Linked DNA regions of Arabidopsis thaliana. The protein of the gene in region 2 interacts with the protein of the main gene of each other region in a biochemical or structural test. Each region holds a gene or a part of one and is shown on either strand. Other genes may lie near its edges.

Region 1 (6,837 bases), on a different chromosome or scaffold from region 2:
CACAGAGCAATCAACAACTAATTGAATTCTCTTAATACTACTACTGTTCAGAACCAATCAACAACAAACAAAGCAAAAAAAAAGTAAACTTTATCAATGTGTTAAAGAATTCAAAACTTTGATATAACCTTGGATCCCAAAATGAGAGCGCCGCGTTCGAGAAAGAGCGTGAAATTGCTGGTGAGGTTGAAGCTTCCAGAAAGCCACGTGCCCTCCGGGACATTGAGCTGGGCCCCACCCTCCGCCGCAAAACCTTCAAGGTGCCTTACGGCGCGGCGGAAAGCGGCCGTGTTCGACGTCTTTCCGTCTCCAACACCGCCGAAATCGGTAATCGACATAACGATCCGGTTAGGGAACGGGTCGTGATTGAAAAACCCGGAGCAGGTAACAGGGTCGTCATATTGAGAAGTCGGGATCCAGAGAGGGAGAAAAGAATTGGAAGAGATTTGGAGAGAGAGAATCGCTAAGACGGTGAAAACAAGGAGAAGAAACGCCCACGAAGGTCTTGTAATGGCACTCAATACTGTGGTCGGATTCTTCTCCGGTTCCATTGTTTTTTGGAAACAGAGAGAAAACTCAAAAGCCCATGAAGCAAGCTCTGAGATAAAATTACAAACAGAAGAATGCTAAAGTGGGACTTTTAGATGGTTGGAGAGAATTATGCATGTGTGTGGCAATGATTAGCGTAGTGTGGTGGTGACAACAAACAAAGGTGGAGGAAGATAGAAAGTCGATAGATACCTTACCTCGAAAATTCGTCTCTCTCTTTGATTATTTTTGTATATATAAATAGAAAAAAGTAGTAGTAAATAAGAAAATTGGATACAGACACAGATATGTCGTGAAAAGGGCACTAAAATATTGGATGGTGCATGTGAATCGTCAAAAAGTGGCAAGGAGAAAGTGAAAGTCTTCACGAATTATATTTTGGTTTATATATAAAAGAAGAAGAAAGAAGAAGAAAGAAGAAGAAAGAAGATGGATGATACACAATCGGTCACGGACTCACGGGTAGGAAGGATTGTGAGGCGTTACAATCTCGTCAGACTTCCAAGTCTTAATCTGATGGGCCTTTAAATAGCCTACTGTACTGAGTTGTTTGTTGTGTTTTTGTTTTGTTTTTTAATGCCAAACTAAGGTATATGTCCGTATTTTATTGCTGGCAACATATACTCTGTCCGTTTGTGTTTTTTGTTTTTTATTTCATTTTTCCTCAAAATTACTTTTGTTCTTTTAAAAATATTAAATGGCATAAATAGTTAAACTATCAACCAGTAAATTATATATGATACAATAATGTTTTTTGTTTTGTTTAATTCATTGGACCAGATGGATTATTCAGCTTACATTTTTCAATATTGAATTGTAATTTTTTAGAGCTATAATCTTTAAAAAAGAATAAAAAAATCAAAAAAGCTTTTGCTCATCTTTGGAATAAACGAACTTGCTATTAAGACCAAGCCCAATAAACAATAAAAGCCCGAAAAAATAGAGCTGGGCCGGTAATTAGGATTATGATGATGGTATATAACTCACTATCAACTATCATGAGTTCATGACCATCATGGTTTATATCTAATGTCATATGATGGATGATGATAAGGTGGGCGAACATAACAAACATGATTCGGAATGAAGTCGTGCGTCTTTGACTTTGACTAGCTCTAAAAAAGCTTTGAAAATGCTCGTCCACGTCATCATCCTCTTTGTCGTTTTCTCAATCTTAAATGTCATTTTTTTAATATAGTTTTCACAGTACAACAACTCAACCCAGTAAAATCCCTTCTTTAAGCAAAGAAAATAATTAAAATTCGTCTTCCTTCCTTGCTCTCGGCGATAACTTGGTTTCTCTCCTCTCTCTCATCTCTCTTTGTTTCGACCCTTTTTTAGTATATTTCCAGGAAATATCTTCTTCCTCCTTTCGTTTTCTCTATCTCAGTTTTCTCTCTTCTCAGCATTAAGTAGTCAACGGTCAGCGATCTCGGCGTTCCTTCTAATCGGAAAAGTCTAGCTTCAGTTTCTTTTTTTTTTGCTTTTTTGGTTTCCGCGATTAATCGATTTGGGTATTTTGATTTTCTCTTCAAATTAAGTCAACGGGTGGATACGCGTTGAGAGGGCTTTTCTCGTATTCTGCTTCTAATTTCATCATCTTGGTATTACCTTGTGTGGGTGGTAGCTTAATCGAAGGATTCGAGATCCCTTTTATCAGGGGTTTTAACAATGATGGATTTTCTCTGATGAGGGATAGTTCTAGGGTTTGTTTTTAATCTCTTGAGGATAAAATGGAACGAAGATTAATGATCCCTTGCTTCTTTTGGTTGATTCTCGTTTTGGATTTGGTTCTCAGAGTCTCGGGCAACGCCGAAGGTTTCCCCTTTCTCTCTCATTCTCTTTCAATTTTTCATTCTTTCCAATTAAATTAGTTTCCCTTGTTGAGTATTTTGATTAGTATAGGCTTATGAGAGCTTGTTCTCACCTAAAGAAGGCATTTTTAACTTATCTGTTACTTGTTTTGCTGTATTGACTTGAGTTATATTTGGGTTACATCTGTTTCGACTGATTCCAGTGATTATGTATCCTCGTGACACTTGATGATTGCAAAGTTTGATTTTTTCTTCTTCTTTGGTTAATTGTAGGTGATGCTCTAAGTGCACTGAAAAACAGTTTAGCCGACCCTAATAAGGTGCTTCAAAGTTGGGATGCTACTCTTGTTACTCCATGTACATGGTTTCATGTTACTTGCAATAGCGACAATAGTGTTACACGTGTGTAAGTTTCTTTCTATATCTAGCCAAGATGATTCGGATTTTCGCATCTACTGAGAATTTACTTGAACTTCATTTTTGCTCAGTGACCTTGGGAATGCAAATCTATCTGGACAGCTCGTAATGCAACTTGGTCAGCTTCCAAACTTGCAGTACTTGTAAGTCATCTTTTCTTTAAAAGGCCGTCTTTTAACTTTTGGTGTATGTGGGATGTTAAAAATGTTACAATGTTCCAAATAACTGCATAATTTTGCATTATCATAGATTATTAGTTATATATCTTTCCGATCTTATGGTGAAATTAATATTAAAGAATGGTAATGACAGGGAGCTTTATAGCAATAACATTACTGGGACAATCCCAGAACAGCTTGGAAATCTGACGGAATTGGTGAGCTTGGATCTTTACTTGAACAATTTAAGCGGGCCTATTCCATCAACTCTCGGCCGACTTAAGAAACTCCGTTTCTTGTATGCACCATATTCTACTCTCTTCTTTTAATACGTTTTTAATAAGCAGCCTAATTATTGTCTTTAGTTTCCTTGATCGTGTTTGTCTTCCTGTAAAAGCTATTCGTGCAACGTGTTACATTTGTAGGAGTCAGAAAGTAGTGTCGCCAAATAGATGCTACGTTATTTTACTAGATGAAAAGGTGTTCTCTTGGAGACTAGGATGTTGTATAATATGGTCTATTTTAATTATGAGCTTTCGTAAAAGGAATCAGAACTCTATCCTTGTGTTCGCTTAATTTTACTGGAACAACACAAAGTTCCGAATTCAGGTGACTGTCTTTTTGGTTGTTCTCGTGTGTCACCTTTGTGATCTTCAATGGTAGTTATTGACTCGCTTATTTTGTATGAAATCGATTTGGTTCTGGAAGAATGAAATTCTATCAAAGATAACAATATTCTTCTGCCTTAGAATTTAAGCGCTAAACCCTATTGTTACTTATTAATTTGTGAGTGCTCTGTAAATCTAGAGGGTGAACGCATCTAAAGTAGTAAGTCGCGCTAATTAGGAAAATATACTTGATTTTTCAATCAGCTTCATATCTGTTGGATGAGATTTTAGAACAACCCCTACTTTTGAAAGTCTTTTAAAGTTTGTATTTTTGCTCTCACTATAAACTCATTACTGGTTAATGTATTTCCACTTATTCATGACATTCTCTTTTTGTATTGGTGGTTAGGCGTCTTAATAACAATAGCTTATCTGGAGAAATTCCAAGGTCTTTGACTGCTGTCCTGACGCTACAAGTTCTGTGAGTGTAACTTTATCTCTCTCAAATTCCTCTGTGTTCATGTTTCTGATTATTGTTTGGCCGATCTTGGCATTAAGTCAGAAAATGATATCATCTTATAATGCAGGGATCTCTCAAACAATCCTCTCACCGGAGATATTCCTGTTAATGGTTCCTTTTCACTTTTCACTCCAATCAGGTTTTGCATCCTGCTCCTAGTTTAAATCTTGGTGGAGAGGTCAGAATGTTTGATTAATTATTTGAAATTTTGCAGTTTTGCCAACACCAAGTTGACTCCCCTTCCTGCATCTCCACCGCCTCCTATCTCTCCTACACCGCCATCACCTGCAGGTTTTTTTTTGTATATGTCTTTGTCTTTGAAATGTTATTCAACTGAATAAGTAAACATTTTAAGCAGATCCATTAAGTATTAAGAAAGAGATTGTTCATTTCATTCTTGCAGGGAGTAATAGAATTACTGGAGCGATTGCGGGAGGAGTTGCTGCAGGTGCTGCACTTCTATTTGCTGTTCCGGCCATTGCACTAGCTTGGTGGCGAAGGAAAAAGCCGCAGGACCACTTCTTTGATGTACCAGGTTAGCTAAACTTGCTTTACCTGTTTCCTCATTAACACTTCTCTTGCTGATTTTTTTTTATTACCGTCTTTTTGCAGCTGAAGAGGACCCAGAAGTTCATTTAGGACAACTGAAGAGGTTTTCATTGCGTGAACTACAAGTTGCTTCGGATAATTTTAGCAACAAGAACATATTGGGTAGAGGTGGTTTTGGTAAAGTTTATAAAGGACGGTTAGCTGATGGTACTTTAGTGGCCGTTAAAAGGCTAAAAGAGGAGCGCACCCAAGGTGGCGAACTGCAGTTCCAGACAGAGGTTGAGATGATTAGTATGGCGGTTCACAGAAACTTGCTTCGGCTTCGTGGATTTTGCATGACTCCAACCGAAAGATTGCTTGTTTATCCCTACATGGCTAATGGAAGTGTTGCCTCCTGTTTAAGAGGTATCTCTCATCTTGTGCCTTTTTCTTTGACTGCAATATTTCCGTCCAATGGTTGCCTTTTTATCCGTAGTAATCTTATATTTTATTTTCTCCTTAGAACGTCCCGAGTCCCAGCCACCACTTGATTGGCCAAAGAGACAGCGTATTGCGTTGGGATCTGCAAGAGGGCTTGCGTATTTACATGATCATTGCGACCCAAAGATTATTCATCGAGATGTGAAAGCTGCAAATATTTTGTTGGATGAAGAGTTTGAAGCCGTGGTTGGGGATTTTGGACTTGCAAAACTCATGGACTACAAAGACACACATGTGACAACCGCAGTGCGTGGGACAATTGGTCATATAGCCCCTGAGTACCTTTCCACTGGAAAATCATCAGAGAAAACCGATGTCTTTGGGTATGGAGTCATGCTTCTTGAGCTTATCACTGGACAAAGGGCTTTTGATCTTGCTCGCCTCGCGAATGATGATGATGTCATGTTACTAGACTGGGTATATACATATATGAGTTTCCCACTTGTATAGTTCATTATCTGTGTTACCTCTATTTGTGTTAATTATTCATTTCGACAGGTGAAAGGGTTGTTAAAAGAGAAGAAATTGGAAGCACTAGTAGATGTTGATCTTCAGGGTAATTACAAAGACGAAGAAGTGGAGCAGCTAATCCAAGTGGCTTTACTCTGCACTCAGAGTTCACCAATGGAAAGACCCAAAATGTCTGAAGTTGTAAGAATGCTTGAAGGAGATGGTTTAGCTGAGAGATGGGAAGAGTGGCAAAAGGAGGAAATGTTCAGACAAGATTTCAACTACCCAACCCACCATCCAGCCGTGTCTGGCTGGATCATTGGCGATTCCACTTCCCAGATCGAAAACGAATACCCCTCGGGTCCAAGATAAGATTCGAAACACGAATGTTTTTTCTGTATTTTGTTTTTCTCTGTATTTATTGAGGGTTTTAGCTTCTGCTGCTCCATATTATTGGTTCTTAAGTGAATACATGAGGATCAGATTGGGTTTGTAAGTGTTATATGATGAAAAAGGATTTGAATGTTGTTGAAAGCTAAAACCCAAACATGTCTTAAGCTCACCACTTGAGGATTGTTGCGCACTTGATTCACAAATATGTATCCCATCAATTATTCTTTTTCACCGTGCGTCAGGTTTCTTTTCTTACCGGTTTCTGTGTTATCATGTGATTTCTAGATCCGGAGATTGTTCAGAAGAAAAGGAGACTTTTGCCTTTAAATAGCAATTGGACAAGAAAATGCAACCAAAGTATATTACTTTTTGATGGATATCTGAACCACACAAGCAATAAGTATACAACTGCATATTACGAGAGTACACAATTTTTACATAGTAGCCTAGAAGATTCATGATTCTTCATATAACAAGAGTAGAGAACTTATTATAAATACAAAAATCGTAAGTAGATGTGGTCTAGCCTAATTAATACTCCGACAATTTTGACGGACTTCACCTTGAGAGCCAAGTTTAACATCAAGATTGCTCATCTTGCGCATGGCCTGTTGGAAATCAAAGAAGAACTTGGCTTGGTTAAGTGCATAGCCGTTAACAAGATTCCTGGTCCTTGGTGTGTTGAATAAAGTTTGGTCTGAAAAGAGGACTCCTGATTTCATCTGAAGCGCATTGAAGTAAGCATTGTCGAAATCGTTGCGCGTAGCATCAAAGGGTTGCTCTGCATTGTCACCCGCGCTGCATGTTTTAGAGAGAGTGTTTGCAAAAGTCGAGTCTAATGAAGAGTCTGGGACGGTAAGTCTAGCCTTGAAGGAGGAGCATCGTGCAACTCCTAGGGT
Region 2 (5,955 bases):
TCCCAGTTGTTGACAATACCATGCTCAATTGGATACTTGAGAGTCAAGATACCACGTTTCGACTGTGCCTCGTCTCCGACGTATGCATCCTTTTGTCCCATTCCAACCATCACTCCCGTGTGACGTGGACGGCCAACGATACTTGGGAATACAGCTCTAGGAGCATCATCACCTGCAAAACCAGCCTACACGCACATAGTTGAATTGCTTAACTTATGGCACATAATAACATTCACAAATCTTGTTTCTCTAAAGCTTTTTGATTACCTTGACCATTCCAGTCCCGTTATCGCAAACGAGCGGCTGAATATCTTCACCGTCCGCCATTTTTCAATCTCTAGCTGATTACATCAACATAAGAAACATAGCAAATTCAAAGGAAACACCAATAATTAATGCCAATCTCATAACTAAATCTAAAACAATAAAATGTAACCATTAAATCTAATTCGTTACGTATACCATAATCAAACGCATTAGCGTTACATTTATATTGGTTTTGCCTCCTTGTGATCAAAATTTTGACATCAAATAAACAAAAAAAATAACATGTACCTGATGAATTTACGTAGATCTAGAAGAAAAGAAAGAGGTTGTGGAATCGTGCCCTGAAATTGGGTTTCAAAAATTTCTGGAAAACAGAAGCAACTTTGGCCCTTAATATCGTTCATACACGGGTCTGAGCCGTTAGTTTTCTTCATTGAGACCAATATCTCAGCCTCTATAGACACGTGTCCATCTATTTTTAGGTTGGAGAATTAAGAAAACACCAGCCTAACCTGAAAATACGGTTTAGGCTCTGTTTTACCGGAAGAATCGGGTCACCGAACAAGCATGAGTGGTAATGAGCCCATTTGGGCCTAAGAAAAAGGTTAAAAGGCCATTTTCTTTAGATTATTCAATTTTAGACAATCAGTGAAATTTCAGTAACATTTCCTTCTAGTTTCTAGTAATTTATGTGTTCAACCGAAATTTCAGTGCTATGTAAAAGAGTGCTATCCAAACTATAATTAAGAAAAAGGGTAAAAGATCTTAGTGGGTGAGGTATGGAAATTGCTGAAAAAGTTCTGGGAAGAATGAGAGTAATGATGATAACGGTAATTGACAAATGTGATAATGATGATAGGGATATGTGCAAGTAAAATAATCAAGCATGTGCATAAGATTCATTATTTGACATGAGACTTTATTATGTGTTTTTGCTTATTATAGTTTCTTACAAAACAAATGAAGAAAGTAGTGAACAACATACAACAATACTAAATAACAGTGTGATTGTTGAAGAAATAGTTTCCATTTAATATTTAAAACTAGGCTTCCAAGGCCTTGACAAATTTCATTAGAGAAGGATTTATTTTTAATTAGTGGAATATATGATCAAGAAAATAAATTGACATTTTGGTATAGATTAGGGACATTGGAGACAGAGGGGTTGATTTTGAGATTGAATTTTGACTTTTCTGTGTATTTAGCTTTTAGCCACCAATTAAAGCAAACATTCATTCATTTTGTCATGTTGATCGCTGCACTTATCTAACTAGAGTATTATTCCCTTTTCGAGGTACCCAGAGGATTAAGCATTTTTTTTAAAAAAAGAGCCTAATACTTTACCTAATAACAAGAAACATGTAGAGTAGAAACAAGTAAAAAAAAGTTTAAAAGAAGAAGGATTAGATCAAAAGAAATAACTATTTTAGGATAATTTCGTTGTCCAGTTGAACTATTTTTAATTTTTCTTTTTAAAATATTTTCTTGCATGATTAGAGAGATAGAGGTATAAAACCTTTTTAATTCTTCAATTATCACTAAATCCAAAATTATAAATGCATTAACAATTTTGTTCTTCTATGACACCCCAAAAATGTCACCAACTACAGCAAAAAAGTGACCACTATATCCGTAAAAATTCGTATATTCAATCCGTGAAAATATAATAGTTGAAAAATATTCAAAATTTCACAAGAAAATTAGTAATTTTATAGAGAAATAATTTAAATGATAATATAATATATTAATGTAAAAAATAAAACAAACACAATCGTAACCGGTCCCGCGGCTTCGTGGTCGAATTTACCTTTGTTCCGGTTTAGTTCTTAAGCCGAGAGAATCGTACAAGTTGCAATAAGCTAAAGCCGTCAGCTAAACGACGCCGTTTTCGAAAAGTCCTCGTCTTCTCTCTCACACAATCTCTCTTTCTCAGAAATCTCTCTCTTTCGCACTTTCTGCAAATGGTTCTCTTCTTCCTTTAAGCTCAATCTCGCCACTGGAGTCTCAATCGGGAAAGATCTCCATCTTCTCCGGAGGAAAAACGGATCCGTAAATCGTGAATTTTTAAACAGAGAAGAATCAATTCAATGGAGGAAGAGAAAGCTTCTGCTGCACAGAGCTTAATCGATGTAGTTAACGAGATTGCTGCGATTTCTGATTATCGTATAACAGTGAAGAAGCTTTGTTATAATCTAGCGAGGAGATTAAAGCTGCTTGTTCCTATGTTTGAGGAAATTAGAGAAAGTAACGAACCGATCAGCGAAGATACGTTGAAGACTTTGATGAATTTGAAGGAAGCTATGTGTTCAGCGAAGGATTATCTCAAATTTTGTAGCCAAGGGAGCAAGATTTATCTGGTGCGTTTCTTCTTCGATTTATTAGCATCTATGATTAGATCTGTGTGGTCACTGAGAATTTTTGTTCTCGTTGACGAATTGGTGTTTTCATTGAATGAGAGAGCCACGTGCTTTGTTTTGCTATGGTAGTGTTTGAGTGATATCAATGCTTCTTTGGTATTTGATTAGATGTTAGATTTGGTAGTGGTTGATGTGACTTGATTGATCTATGGAAGTTGTTGAGAATTTGTGCTCTGATACACAAGAGATGTTGTTGTTCTGTGTGTAGGTGATGGAGAGGGAACAAGTGACAAGTAAATTGATGGAGGTGTCTGTTAAGTTAGAACAATCTTTAAGCCAGATTCCATATGAAGAACTCGATATATCGGATGAAGTTAGAGAACAGGTAAATTCTTGAAACCCAAGGCTGGCTAGGCCAGTGTCTGGATCAGTAAAGACGACATGTAGTTGATTCATAGCGTTTTTTTGGTTGTTGTAGGTTGAGCTGGTTCTTAGTCAGTTTCGGCGAGCTAAAGGAAGAGTAGATGTATCAGATGATGAGCTATATGAAGATCTTCAGTCGCTTTGCAACAAAAGTAGTGATGTAGATGCTTATCAGCCTGTGCTAGAGCGGGTTGCGAAGAAGTTACATTTGATGGAGATTCCTGACCTAGCTCAAGAATCAGTGGCTCTGCATGAAATGGTTGCTTCAAGCGGTGGAGATGTTGGTGAAAATATTGAGGAGATGGCAATGGTATTAAAGATGATTAAGGATTTTGTGCAGACGGAGGATGATAATGGCGAGGAGCAGAAAGTAGGAGTTAACTCTAGAAGCAATGGACAGACTTCTACGGCAGCGAGTCAGAAGATACCTGTGATTCCTGATGATTTTCGCTGTCCGATTTCGCTGGAAATGATGAGAGATCCAGTTATTGTTTCATCAGGGCAGGTATAGTTCACTTCAACCTCAGCTTCTTCAAATTTATTTCTGCGATCTCTTAAGATTTAATTATAGAAGCATGTTCTCCTCTATGTATAGACATACGAACGCACATGTATTGAGAAATGGATAGAAGGTGGACACTCGACATGTCCAAAAACACAGCAGGCGCTAACAAGCACAACCCTCACACCAAACTATGTTCTCCGTAGTCTCATAGCTCAGTGGTGCGAGGCCAACGATATTGAGCCTCCAAAGCCTCCGAGCAGTTTAAGACCCAGAAAAGTATCGTCCTTCTCATCTCCCGCAGAAGCGAACAAGATTGAAGATCTTATGTGGAGACTTGCGTACGGAAACCCCGAGGACCAACGATCTGCAGCTGGGGAAATCCGCCTTCTTGCAAAACGAAATGCAGACAACCGCGTGGCCATAGCCGAAGCTGGAGCCATACCTCTTCTCGTAGGTCTCCTCTCAACTCCTGATTCTCGTATTCAAGAACATTCGGTAACAGCTCTTCTAAACCTCTCCATATGTGAGAACAACAAAGGAGCCATTGTTTCAGCTGGAGCTATTCCTGGTATAGTTCAAGTGCTTAAGAAAGGAAGCATGGAGGCCAGAGAGAATGCGGCGGCTACACTTTTCAGTCTATCAGTGATCGATGAAAATAAAGTGACTATCGGTGCCTTAGGAGCAATTCCGCCACTCGTTGTATTACTTAATGAAGGTACACAAAGAGGCAAGAAAGATGCTGCTACTGCACTCTTTAACCTCTGTATATACCAAGGAAACAAAGGAAAAGCTATACGTGCAGGAGTGATTCCCACGTTGACTAGACTCTTGACAGAGCCCGGAAGCGGAATGGTCGATGAGGCACTCGCGATTTTGGCGATTCTCTCTAGCCACCCCGAAGGAAAAGCAATCATAGGATCCTCTGATGCAGTCCCAAGTTTGGTTGAGTTTATCAGAACTGGCTCGCCTAGAAACAGAGAAAACGCAGCTGCTGTTCTAGTCCACCTCTGTTCTGGAGACCCACAACATCTTGTCGAAGCGCAGAAACTCGGCCTTATGGGTCCATTGATAGATTTAGCTGGAAATGGGACGGATAGAGGGAAACGAAAAGCAGCGCAGTTGCTTGAACGCATCAGCCGTCTCGCTGAACAGCAGAAGGAAACGGCTGTGTCACAACCGGAAGAAGAAGCTGAACCAACACATCCAGAATCCACCACAGAAGCTGCAGATACTTAAAGATTGTCTTTGTTTTGGATCCTCGGGTCATCTCTTTCACGTACGTATGTTTATTATTCTCACTTTTTGTTTGTGCTACTCATCCTCCCTCGAGGTAGGATTCACGGTAGACGCGGAAGAGGGAAATGGCCTCCTTCTCCGATCTACTTTTAACTTTATGGTGATATCTTTGTGTGGACAGAGCAATCTGGTCCACAGGAGAGAAAAGCAAATATGCATACATACACGTCAACTTGTATCATTGTAACACTATGTTTGTAATCATTTCCACGAGCTTTTTTTTGTTTTCAATACAAGATCTCTCTGTTCGCTTTCTTAATAGCATTGAGATACTAATTGAATATAATGCAGATTCCCATTTTTCATGAACAGATGCGTAAACTGCTTGTAGAGTCGATAGATTCCATGCATAATGTTTCAATACAAGTATACAAAACTATCAAATAGTAAAATCTCAACCCGTTTTAAAATTTCTTAGAGAATCCATAGAACAAATATGTCTCCAAGCACAAATATAACATGTAATGTGACTCCACTACACTCATCACAAGTAGAGACCATTCCTTCGGATCATAGAGAGAGAGAGAGAGAGAGATAGAACACATCAAATACATTTCCAGTGTTAGATTATTATATATGTCGAACTACTTTACTAGATGTATTGTGCAAATAGATTCAAAAAGGGGTTGTTTAATTAGGGTTTAAGATTTTAGCAAAGTAAGGATATGAGTTTATTGCCCAAATCCAAGGTGTTCGGCTTTAATGTCGAAAACCAGAGATGGAACTATGAGATACTGTTTACAATGCGGTGACCCCTTTTGTAACATCTGCAAAGATGCGTGGCATAGTAACTTGTCGTGCGAAGATTACAAGAGATTGGGTCCAAATCCTACAGAAGATGATATAAAGTTCGAATCTTTAGCAAATCAGAATATGTGGCGTCAATGTGGAAATTGCAACCAAATGATTGAATTTTCTAATGGATGCATCAGAGTAACATGCATGTATCATCATCATCACATATTCACATTCTCTATCTGTTATAATTAATCCTTTTAGAATCTGTTTATGTTTTCACGTAATTAACAGTATCGTAATGTTCATGGTTGATGGATATCATATAGATGTGGCTACAAATTTTGTTACATATGTGGAGCCCAATGGAAG

Evidence for each region.
Region 1: of the proteins of PUB13 (region 2) and BAK1, one has a biochemical effect on the other in vitro, tested with the Arabidopsis thaliana proteins (2 studies listed by BioGRID, with this or other methods).

The regions. Positions count from the first base shown.
Region 1 is NC_003075.7:16,085,734-16,092,570, reverse strand, and holds BAK1 (BRI1-associated receptor kinase), read left to right. Parts: upstream 1-1,793; 5' UTR 1,794-2,282; coding exon 2,283-2,367; intron 2,368-2,636; coding exon 2,637-2,769; intron 2,770-2,851; coding exon 2,852-2,923; intron 2,924-3,092; coding exon 3,093-3,236; intron 3,237-3,363; coding exon 3,364-3,504; intron 3,505-3,955; coding exon 3,956-4,027; intron 4,028-4,133; coding exon 4,134-4,205; intron 4,206-4,280; coding exon 4,281-4,357; intron 4,358-4,469; coding exon 4,470-4,601; intron 4,602-4,678; coding exon 4,679-5,020; intron 5,021-5,117; coding exon 5,118-5,512; intron 5,513-5,593; coding exon 5,594-5,917; 3' UTR 5,918-6,260; downstream 6,261-6,837. Other genes in the region: AT4G33440 (Pectin lyase-like superfamily protein), read right to left, coding at 129-551; AT4G33420 (Peroxidase superfamily protein), read right to left, coding at 6,466-6,837.
Region 2 is NC_003074.8:17,122,939-17,128,893, reverse strand, and holds PUB13 (plant U-box 13), read left to right. Parts: upstream 1-1,996; 5' UTR 1,997-2,354; coding exon 2,355-2,624; intron 2,625-2,892; coding exon 2,893-3,009; intron 3,010-3,102; coding exon 3,103-3,552; intron 3,553-3,642; coding exon 3,643-4,788; 3' UTR 4,789-5,163; downstream 5,164-5,955. Other genes in the region: ACT12 (actin-12), read right to left, coding at 1-185, 268-327. UniProt on the Arabidopsis thaliana protein: Functions as an E3 ubiquitin ligase.